Linked DNA regions of Callithrix jacchus. The protein of the gene in region 2 interacts with the protein of the main gene of each other region in a biochemical or structural test. Links are inferred from orthologs where the notes say so. Each region holds a gene or a part of one and is shown on either strand. Other genes may lie near its edges.

The links. The genes of interacting proteins can lie anywhere in the genome.
Region 1: the proteins of RAB6A (region 2) and KIF20A form a complex in vitro, tested with the Homo sapiens proteins (2 studies listed by BioGRID). The link is inferred for Callithrix jacchus from reciprocal best matches to the Homo sapiens genes RAB6A and KIF20A.
Region 3: the proteins of RAB6A (region 2) and BICD1 form a complex in vitro, tested with the Homo sapiens proteins (3 studies listed by BioGRID). The link is inferred for Callithrix jacchus from reciprocal best matches to the Homo sapiens genes RAB6A and BICD1.

Annotation. Positions count from the first base shown.
Region 1 is NC_133503.1:36,593,314-36,596,565, reverse strand, and holds the end of KIF20A (kinesin-like protein KIF20A), read right to left. Parts: coding exon 3,181-3,252; intron 3,032-3,180; coding exon 2,929-3,031; intron 2,621-2,928; coding exon 2,422-2,620; intron 2,166-2,421; coding exon 2,074-2,165; intron 1,851-2,073; coding exon 1,713-1,850; intron 1,065-1,712; coding exon 747-1,064; 3' UTR 537-746; downstream 1-536. UniProt on the Homo sapiens protein: Mitotic kinesin required for chromosome passenger complex (CPC)-mediated cytokinesis. Following phosphorylation by PLK1, involved in recruitment of PLK1 to the central spindle. Interacts with guanosine triphosphate (GTP)-bound forms of RAB6A and RAB6B.
Region 2 is NC_133511.1:67,211,997-67,216,433, forward strand, and holds the start of RAB6A (ras-related protein Rab-6A), read left to right. Parts: upstream 1-1,621; 5' UTR 1,622-2,069; coding exon 2,070-2,139; intron 2,140-4,437. UniProt on the Homo sapiens protein: The small GTPases Rab are key regulators of intracellular membrane trafficking, from the formation of transport vesicles to their fusion with membranes.
Region 3 is NC_133510.1:39,163,194-39,166,843, reverse strand, and holds part of BICD1 (protein bicaudal D homolog 1), read left to right. Parts: intron 1-1,526; coding exon 1,527-2,621; intron 2,622-3,650. UniProt on the Homo sapiens protein: Regulates coat complex coatomer protein I (COPI)-independent Golgi-endoplasmic reticulum transport by recruiting the dynein-dynactin motor complex.

The sequences.
Region 1 (3,252 bases), on a different chromosome or scaffold from region 2:
TTTGTGACTCTACAAGAATAAACTCACTTCAAGCTGATCTGTTTTAATGAATTTTCAATGTAATTGTCTATTATTTTTTCCCTCCCATCTGCAACAGAATACATTTTTTCAGCCTTTATCTAGATGAGATAAAGGAAATCATTCTTGTGGTGCTCTTGGAGTTTCAGGCCTGTGCATATGTATGCAGCAGGAGGTAATATGCTATGTCTGCTGTAATGAATTTGTACAGTAGATGCTATGGATCATTCTGAGCTCAGGGTCCAGACTTCATTCTTATTCCCAGAAATTTGTGTTACCTTTTTACCTCCTAACATATGACACTTCATCTTATATTAAGGAAGGTTTAGAATATCTAATACTACTTGAATTCATTTCTTACTAAGCCTTCTTAGGCGAGCTGTATACTAGTTACTAGTCTCCACTGCCATGCTTTTTCAAGGTTCCCCATGGTCCACAATGATGTTTGATTCTCAATTTTTCTGTCGCCTTTATAATTTGTTTTAATGGTTTTGCTACATTTGGAATTCAATAAAAAATGTGAACAATAATATCTTTAATATAACTTTTTTGTGTGTGCATAGAAACCGTATAAGTAAAAAAAAAAAAAAATGAGATTACATAGGTGATTATAATACAAAAAGTGGGAAAAAACCTGATATATGGTAAAGCTTAAAAGGGACCTATTTCTTCAGAAGAGTAGCTGACCCACCTCAGGGCCATGACTGCTCTTCTCTTTCCCCACAGCCTTAGTACTTTTTGCCAAAAGGCCCGGATTTGAGTAAAGGGGAGCGCCGTGAGCGTAGGATCCGGGCATAAGGGCTGCAGTCTGTTGAGCTTTGGCAGGTTGGTGTCCGGGGAAGTAAATTTCGAAGAAATGGTTTCTTCCCTGGGGGCGGTTGGTTTGGTTGCTGGTTTTCCTGGTTGTTACCAAGGCGCTTTTTGGCAGAAACCTGGCCTTGGAGTTTTAGCACCGTATGATACTGCTCAGCAATACATGCTGCCTTCTTCCGAAGGTCCAGTTTGACTAGCACCATGTTGTTCTGCAGTTCAGCCAGAGTCTGGTCCTAAGGAAGATCAATAAAGTTATAAAAAACACTTTTGTCTGGTAGATTAGAGAAACAACAGGGCTAATACATAACCACCCATTACTAACAGTTATTAATGACTGTTTCTTTAAAGATTAAAACTCTTTAAGGTCAGAGCTTATAACTAGATAAGGGGGCATTTTCTGAGACCAAAATATAAGCAGTGCTGAATAGGACATCTTCTAACCCATAAGGTGGTATGAGCTTGAGTAAATTTAATTTCTAAGCACCGTAGTCTCTAGATATCAAATTAAATGTTGAGCTTAGTTTAAGATAGACAGTTTTAATATCTCTGGAACCAGGATGCATCTTACTGATGAGAAATGTCATAGCTAAATTGTTAGTTTTTTTTCTTAGTAGTACATAAAACAATGGTTTTTTAGATGAAATATAACAGTAACTCCTCCCTAAGGTGGTTGTGACAGAAAATGCCTATAAATTACTTAGCATAGTTCCTGGTCCTTAGTAAATGCTTAACAAAAAAATAGTTATTTTTATTTTGCAAATATACTGCTGTCACTCTAAGTTCAGCCTAAAAATCTTTACCTTTTTCTTCTGGTCCCCTTTCCTTTCTCACATATACACTGGAGTGGGCTAGGAGGAGAGAAGTGGGTAGTTTGCCCTAACCTGTTTTATTAAGATGTCATCACAAGTGGTCAAGGCTTGACGAAGTTTTCCTGCCCCAGTGCTGTGGCAACAAGCTCTCTCTGCTGATTGGAGAGACTCACCAAGTTTCTGAAGCTCTGTCCGCAGCAGCCTTATATTCTGAAAAAGGGGAAGTAGGAATCAGATTGTGGGCAAGAGCAACCACTATAATAATCTGGAGGGGTCAGGTAGCCATTTGAAGAGAAGTAAAATTAGAAAGGGTAGTGAGCTGAGTGAAATAGCCACTCTCCAGCATCTTGTCTTCCCCTGAACCAGTGATAAGAGTGTTGGATGTGGGAAATTGCCTTAGGTAAGAGTATGGTAAACAGAGAAAGGTAATTACCTTCTGGCCCTCTTCTAACTTCTTGTCCACATCAATGGTGAAGGGCTTGGCTGAGGGTGGCGGTTCTAACATTTTCTGATACTTATGCAACTCTGAGGGAAGGAAACGGGAAACTTTATAAAATATGTGGGGTTTTTTTTTAGCCTTGGCCCAATCTCTTCAACTGAGTTAAGAGTAGCTTGTAGCAAATATCAAAAGTGAGGCTATGTGCGTCCTAGACTAAAATGTCAGGGGGGCTGTAGCTTGCAGTTTAGGAAATTATGTTAGAGCAAGAGTCAGAAGGCCTGGGTTTGAGTAACAGCTCGTCCCTGAACCACTGTTATGTTTCCTGCCTGTCTCTTTCCTCACCTTCAGTGGTGGAGTTTAGCTCTGCCTTGCACTGCTGTAATTTAGCTTTAACCTCCTGAAGCTGCTGTGTGGAGGCAGAAGCTGCCAACCTTTGTGACCGCCGTAGGGACAATTCAGACCCTGATTGCTGTTGGGCCACCGACTGTTGTCTGGCTTCCTGCAAGAGAGCTTCTAGCTCTTCAATCTTTTCATCTCGCTCCTAAGAGGGAAGCAGAGAGCACAATTCTGTGCAGAGCCAGAAAAATATTGCCGAGGCAGATGACTGAACAGACAAACAAAGCACTTGTGACACTGATCCCTTGAAAACCTGTTGTTAGCACTTAATACAATTTCCTGGCCAACTAAACCCTTAATCAATTCACCAAACATAGATTGAACCCAAAGCACTAAGAGGAATAGAGAAAATATATTCCTGCCCTTACTGGAGTAGTTTACAAAATCTCTACTTCAGGCAAGCTAGTGATGGAAATCTGAGCAGTTAGTTGGAGCTGGCTCAGGGCAACTCACCTGAATCTCTTCTTGGTAAAAACTTGTCAGTGACTCCTTAAGGATATTTAGTTTTTCTTCATACATTTCCTCCAATAGTTCCTTTTGGGTGTCCAAATGTTCACTGTCAGAAACAGAGGAGAAAAGAGAAAGTGAGTGAAGATTCTGAGGAGTGAACTTGGGGAACAGATCTTGAGGCACAACTCCACCCAACTCCTTACTTCCTACCCTCTGTCCCAGGTGACAGAGCAAGAGGGATCACTCAGCTAGTACCTGCACCACTGTTCCCGCTGTTGCATCTGTTCTACCATCTCAGTGCAAATTTCATCTCGGAGCTGCATCTCC
Region 2 (4,437 bases):
AAAGTCTATTTCAGGAAACATAATGAAAGCTTGGTACCCATCAGAAGGAAAATAGCTACTCACTTTTGTTTGCATAAGCTTTTTAAAAAGTTTCTTTGTTTAAACTGTTCTTTGTATGTGCCAGGGTCTGGATTAATGGTGAAGAGGACTCTATTAGACCTGACAAACTGCTTGTAAAATCAAATGTCCATGCCACAAGTTAGGTTTTTACCATTTTTCTTTAGATGCATATTCTACCTGCACGTGTCTGGCAGAGGAAACAGAAGGGAGTAAATTTTGATAGTGAGTGTTTGAGGATAGAGCTGTTGTCTTGATAGGCTAGAACAGATGATATTTTAAGAACTTCAGTTCCTCCCCGTGATTTATTCTAGGTCAGCAATTCATCCTTGGGTCTGAGAAGGCACTTTTTTGATCCTGTCATTTCTACAGCTAAGCAAATAACTACCCAGTAATGAGAAAATGTACATAAATGTTTTTGTGAATTATATAAGATACTATATACAAATGTAAGGACTTTTTTTTTCTTCACTTGGCAATTTTTTTTTTTTTTTTTTTTTTTTTTTTTTTTTTTTAAGACAGGGACTTGTTCTGTAGCCCAGATTTCAGTGTAGTGGTCACATACTACAGACTCCAAATCCTGGACTCAAGCAATCCTTCTGCCTCAGCTTCCTGAGTAGCTGGAACTACAGGCGTGCACCACGACATTCGGCTAATTATTTTATTTTTTGTAGAGATAGTGTTTTGCTTCGTTCCCCAGCCTGGTCTCGAATTCCTGGGCTCAAGCAATTCTATCGCCTCGGCCTCCCAAAATGCTGGGATTACAGGCGTGAGCCATCGCGCCAGGCAGCTTTATGGATTTTGCAAGTCATTTTCTACCTCTAGGCTTTGGTTTCCTCATCTGCAAAATTGGGAGGCCCTGATTCTGACAGTTATAAAATTCCTGGAAGCAATGGAAAAGAATGTTATTTAGTACGATGCCGTGTGAGGAATTATGATAAGGTGGAGAAGGTGGGGTGTGTGCAGGGGTGAAGGACAGATCTGAGGACTGTGGGGCCGGCTGAGGGTTCGGGAAAGAGGCTCCTATTACAAATCTTATGGCTATAGGACCCACTCACACTTTTTGAGGTATCATTCCACCTTAGTCCCGGCCCCGCCTCAGCCTCACCTTTCTTTCGCTTCCGCCCCATCTCTTCCCCTCCCCTTCACTCACTTCTTTTTCCCTCTCCTCTGGCTGAGAAGTGCCACACTTCGTATGGCCGCCACCGTGCTCCGCTTTCCATTTCTCGAGGGCTGCGCGCGCTCTCATGCCGCACCTCACTCGCGTGTCGGCCCGCCCTCAGCCCCTTCCGATTGGCTTAATATGTAAGTGACGTAAGGGCTTCATCTACCCGCTAACTTATCCCTGGTTTGCCCCGCCTCCTCCTGGCTTCTGATGCGAGTGGAAACCTAACCTGCCCCGCCGCCGCCTCACGGGAGGAAGGCGTCGAAACCAGGAAGGCGATGGCGATGGCGATGGCGGTGGCGGTGGCGCGCGCGCACGCACGCACGCACGCACGCACGCACGCACGCCAGCGGCCGGCGGGGCAGCAGGCTCGCGCCCGGGCTCGCCCCGCGCCGCGCCAGAGGCTCGCGCACTCAGCAGGTTGGGCTGCGGCGGCGGCGGCAGCTGTGGAAGCTGAGGTGCTGCGCGTGAGAGGTCCCAGACACGTCTGCGGTTCCGGCTCCGCCACCTTCCGCCACTCTCACCCAGGTCTCGGAGCCGGGTGCTGAAGGAGGGAACGGCCCTAGCCTTGGGAAGCCAGAGCACACCCCTGGCTCCTGCTGACACCGCCCTCCTTCCCTTCCCAGCCGCGGGCCTCGCTCAGTGCTAGGCGACTCTGCGGGGAGGCGGCGGCTGCCAGTCTGTGGAGAGTCCTGCTGCCCTCCAGCCCTGCTCCTCCGTCGGGCCCTGCAGGGGCCGAGAGATCTCGGCGCCCGCCCTTCCGCTCGCCTTTTTCGTCAGCGGGTTGGAGCATCGTCGGTCCGGGAGGTCTCTGGGCTGAGGCGGCGGCAGCTCCTCTGGTTCCACCATGTCCGCAGGAGGAGACTTCGGGAATCCACTGAGGAAATTCAAGCTGGTGTTCCTGGGGGAGCAAAGCGGTGAGTGCGTGGCTCCCCCACTCCTGGCAGCTGGCCGCAGCGTCCCCGCACCGCCCCCGGTGCGGCCCTTCCGTCCGCGGAGGCTTCCTGCTCGCCTCGCGTCCGCGCTCGTTGCCACCGCAGCCCTTCCCGAAGTGCCCGCCGGTGCCATCAGCCCTCCGCCTGGATCCGTCGGTCGAGTTTTTACCCTCTTCCCCGGGCTCTTCGATCGTCTCCGTTCTCCGCAGGCCGGCCATCTCCGGTCGATCTGCCCTCCCTCCGCAGCCCTCACCCCGCCCAGCCTCTTGTCCATCCCTTTCTTCCTCCGGTCTCCGCCGTCTCCCCTACCCCGGCCTTCTTTCTTGAGCCCCACCCTTATTCTTTGCCCTTTTCCCAGTTCCTCGGCTCTGTGAGGCCCATTCAGGGAAGCTCCACTCCTGAGAGCGGGCCCTCTTCAACCTTGGCCAAGGAGGGTGGGATCTGGGCGTTGTTTTCCCCAGAGGCTTGGCTCTGAGAAGTACTGATGTCGTGGAAGGTGGGAAGGGGGGTGGTCGTAGAAAAAAAATATTACATGGTTTTCACCTTAGTGGGAAATTAGTCTGGAGGAAAACATCTGAATTGGAGGCGACTTGAGCATGGGGTAGTTGGGGGTGAAAGGGGTAGTGTCGGCAGAAGAGATTTTTGCCCCTTAGGTTACATTGGGCTGTGGCTTGTCGGAAAACCTCATTTTGTTTTCTTGACTTTCATCACTGACAATTCTTTTGGCAGTGTTGATTTTTCAGTCTCTGCCAGATGCTATGTCATGATCATTTTACTTGGAATTTTTCTCATCTCACCTCCCCTTTTTCTCGTTTCAACGTGAAGCAGCGTTTGAGTCTCATGGTGGTACAAATGGGAATTACTGGGGAAATGTTAATTATTCATTTCTTCTTGAGTATTTTCCAATGATAAATATATTGAGGATTCATGAGAGAGAAGACTTGGAATAACAAACATCTTTGTTTTCTCGGATTTCCTTTGGAAAATGGAGTACAGTAGGAATAGACTCATCATCTAGTTATCTGAATTCGATTTACATACGATTTGGGCTAAATGATTCTTTTATGCTTAATATTTCGTACTGTCTGATGAGTGAAATTGTTATGTCATTTACCTGGTCAGGTTATGTTATCACTGTACTTTTGTATTAGATACAGGATTCTAATTTTGTGATTGTTATTTCTACGATTACTTCGTGTAGTAATTCCAGTTTTCTGCTGTAGTATGCAAACTTGACACTCGACAATTTAGAGATGATTACCCTTCTTTGTTTTTCTCACACTTTTCATGATCATCTTTAAAATTCAGACATTGAGAGATTAGTTCTGAGTCATCAAACATTGAATTCCTACTATGTGTTTAGGTGAGGTTATAGAAAACATTAGTTATTTGTTTCGACTGGAAAGCATGTAAGTGATATAAATTCATAGATTTTATTACTACTTTGAACTACTTATTCTAATTCGTATGCCATGACAGGTTAATACTCTCGAAAAATTGCCTCCAGTTAGAACTAGGAAATAATTTTTCTTCTTTTATATGTAGATTATCCTCCCCTCCTCCCTTTTGGGAAAAAAATCCAATCTCCCTCCGTTTTGCTTATATATTTTCCTGGAGTAAGTATAAACTTGTGTCTTTAGGTGAGTAACTTGGTAGAACCTATGGAGTTGATTCTGGTCCAGCTATTATATGTCAACTTCAGGATACTTCTCAAAGATAGAGTTTTTTGGTCATTATTGATAAAAAGGATCCAAAGTGCTTATTGTGCATTCTAGGGATATTATTGTCTTCCTTAATGTTGTGATGCGCAGCTGTTTAGTTTGCATGAAAAACCCATTAATCTCCCTGTCTAAAAAGATTTTAGCATGAATGGAGAGCTTAATTTCCTATCTTCAGGTTTCCTTTGAATTTCTTATTTGTATATGTTCTAATTCATAATGAAGAGTTTTATGGCTTCTGATTTCTTACCTTGTTTAAGCCTCTACTACTCTTCCCCCTCCATTACTAAAGCTTGGTTAGATTTTTTTGTAATAGACTTTATTTTTTTGAACAGTTTTAGACTTACAGAAAAATTGAAAAGATTGCGCAGAGTTCCCATATACCCACACATCTAGTTTCCCCTCTTATTAACATCTTGCATTAGTATGGCACATTTGTTACAATTAATGAATTAATATTGGTATGTTATTATTAACTTAAGTTCATAGTTTATTCAGATTTTTAGTTTTAACCCAATGTACTTTTTCTGTTTCAGCATTCAATTCATGATATGAAGTTAAT
Region 3 (3,650 bases), on a different chromosome or scaffold from region 2:
GATCCAGGAAGTTTGAAAGTTTGAATTGATACCTTCCTTTAGATCTAAAGACATGGGCTAGGCGTGGTGGCTCACGCTTGTAATCCCAGCACTTTTGGAGGCCAAGGTGGGCAAATCACCAGGTTAGGAGATCGAGACCATCCTGGCCATGGTGAAACCCTGTCTCTACTAAAATACAAAAAATCAGCCAGTTGTGGTGGCGCACGCCTGTAGTCCTAGCTACGCAGTAGGCTGAGGCAGGGGAATCGCTTGAACCCAGAAGATGGAGGTTGAAGTGAGCCGAGATCATGCCACTGCACTCCAGCCTGGTGACAGAGCAAGACTCTGTTTAAAAAAAAAAAAAAAATTGACACTGAAATTTTATATATGTAGTGATTTCATATATGTAGTGATGTAGTGATTTTATGTACACTGCAATTTCATGTATACCTATGTTTAATGAGACAGTGTTTTTGGACACTTCAGTGTTTTTCATCACACAGTAATACCATCTATATAAATGTATCACATTATTTAAATTAATTACTAACATTTCAACTTCCTATTTTGGACTGAAGGAATTGAATTGATTTATAAATTGTTCTTTTAGCCCTAAAATTCTGTATGTATTCTCTGCCTTTTATATTAAAAAGTATTAAAAGCAGGGCACAGTGGCTCATGCCTGTAATCCCAGTGCTTTGGGAGGCTGAGGCAGGGGGATAGCATGAGCCTAGGAGTTCAAGACCAGCATGGATAACATAGCAAGACCCTTTCTCTATACACACACAAAATTAGTCAGGTCCACATGTGGCATGCACCTGTGGTCCCAGCTACTCAGGACACTGAGGTGGAAGGATCACTTGAGCCTGGGAGGCAGAGGCTACAGTAAGCCATGATTGTGCCACTACGTTCCATTCCAGTGTGGGTGACAGAGTGACACCCTGTCTTAAAAAAAGACAAAAGCTATCAATGTACTGCATGTTTATTTTAGGGACTAAATGCTTATTTTTAAGGGGATGGTTAAAGTACTCAGCATTATTTAGTAAGTTAAAGCCTTAGGTTTTAAACCTGATTTGGAGTTGAGCTCTGGGAAGGAAAGGATGATTGATTCATAGGCACCCTGAGACAGTCACGTACGATTTGAAAAGCAGATGTACTCTAAGGCTATCAAAATAAAAATAACACCAAGTACTATGCTTATCTCTTAAAGTCATGTTGTTTTCTGCAAGGTGTTAAAAATGAAAATAAGATTGTTCTAATAACATTGAAGTTTCATGAGTATATGTGTATGATACAAGAGAGATTGATGGGTAACACAAGTGAGATTGTTGGGTGACTACTTGCAGTATAATTTTTTTTAAATTATGTACTTTTAGATTGATTTACCAGACTGCTGAAATAAAAAACACTCCAGTTTAATCTGAAATAATGGGAACGTTGGCTCTGCTGCCGTGATTTTAAATGTATACATGCCCAATTGTGACTGGATTAAGTTCATCATTGGCATTGCATTGAAGTCATTCAGAGACTCTCTTTTGCCATTGCAGGTAGAGCGGGAAAAGGCCATTCTTTTGGCCAACCTACAGGAGTCACAGACACAGCTGGAACACACCAAGGGGGCACTGACAGAGCAGCATGAGCGGGTGCACCGGCTCACAGAGCATGTCAATGCCATGAGGGGCCTGCAAAGCAGCAAGGAGCTCAAGGCCGAGCTGGACGGGGAGAAGGGCCGGGACTCAGGGGAGGAGGCCCATGACTATGAGGTGGACATCAATGGCTTAGAGATCCTTGAATGCAAATACAGGGTGGCAGTAACTGAGGTGATTGATCTGAAAGCAGAAATTAAGGCCTTAAAGGAGAAATATAATAAATCTGTAGAAAACTACACTGACGAGAAGGCCAAGTATGAGAGTAAAATCCAGATGTATGATGAGCAGGTGACAAACCTTGAGAAGACCACCAAGGAGAGTGGTGAGAAGATGGCCCACATGGAGAAGGAGTTGCAAAAGATGACCAGCATAGCCAACGAAAATCACAATACCCTTAATACGGCCCAGGATGAGTTAGTGACGTTCAGTGAGGAGTTAGCTCAGCTTTACCACCACGTGTGTCTGTGTAATAATGAAACTCCCAACAGGGTCATGCTGGATTACTATAGGCAGAGCAGAGTCACCCGCAGTGGCAGCCTGAAAGGGCCTGATGATCCCAGAGGACTTTTGTCCCCACGATTAGCCAGGCGGGGTGTGTCATCCCCAGTAGAAACAAGGACCTCATCTGAACCAGTTGCAAAGGAAAACACAGAGGCCAGCAAAGAACCAAGCCCAACTAAGACCCCCACAATCTCTCCTGTTATTACTGCCCCACCGTCATCTCCAGTATTGGATACAAGTGACATCCGCAAAGAGCCAATGAATATCTACAACCTTAATGCCATAATCCGGGACCAAATCAAGCATCTGCAGAAAGCTGTGGACCGGTCCTTGCAACTGTCTCGCCAAAGAGCAGCGGCTCGGGAGCTAGCCCCCATGATTGATAAAGACAAAGAAGCCTTAATGGAAGAGATCCTCAAGCTCAAGTCCCTGCTGAGCACCAAACGAGAGCAGATCGCCACGTTGAGGGCAGTACTGAAAGCCAACAAGCAGGTAATCTCATTGTGCAGGTGAAAGCTTGCTAGTCAAAGCTTTCTTAGCTAATTCATTCCCTAATTTTATTGAGTGTCCAGTATCATCAAGATGACAGTTCAGATTCTTTGTCAGTGGAGAAATAAAACCATGTCCCAGTGCCAGATCAGAATGTCATAATAATTATTATGTTTAAATGAGTGAGTGGCTGAAATATCCATGCCCAGCTAGGTAGAGGCAGAGGTGAGGAGGTTAAAGCAGCAACACAGAGGACCCAGATGCCTTTCTGCAGATAGAGAAAGGCAGTTCAGGTGGTCCTGGGCTGAAGCCTGGCAGTGAGTGACTGCGGAAACAGGAGATGGAGGTTGGCAGAATAAGCTGACAAGGCAGGTTATACCAGCTAGGGAGATACAGCAAGAAAGACAGACAGCCTGCAGGCAGCTGGAGCAAACAAAAAGAAATCTGGGTGCAGACAGTGAAGAAGATCTGATGGTCAGTAACTGGAACCCAGCTTTGGACCTGGAGGTTCAGATTCAAGACTCAGTTTCTAGGGGTATAGCAAGATTATTATTTTTTTATTATTATTATTGTTTTGAGACAGTCTCGCTCTTGCCCAGGCTGGAGTGCAGTGGCGCCATCTCGGCTCACTGCCACCACCACCTCCAGAGTTCAAGCGATTCTCCTGCCTCAGCCTCCCAAGTATCAGGGATTACAGGCATGTGCCACCATGCCTGGATAATTTTTTGTATTTTCAGTAGAGACAGGATTTCGCCATACTGTCTAGGCTGGTCTTGAACTCCTGACCTCAAGTGATCTGCCCGCCTCAGCCTCCCAAAGTGTTGGGATTACAGGCGTGAGCCACCGCACCCTGCTAAGTATAGCAAGATTAAAAGGAGTGTTTTGTTTTTCATCCCAAACTTAGAGAAACAAAAGTGCTAAATAAATGAGCAAGTAAGGGATGAAGGGCAAGGCAGCTGTGAGGAACTGAGTGCGAAACAAAGCCAGGCAGGTCGTTAACCAACTAATTAAATAGTTTGGGGCCACTTTAGC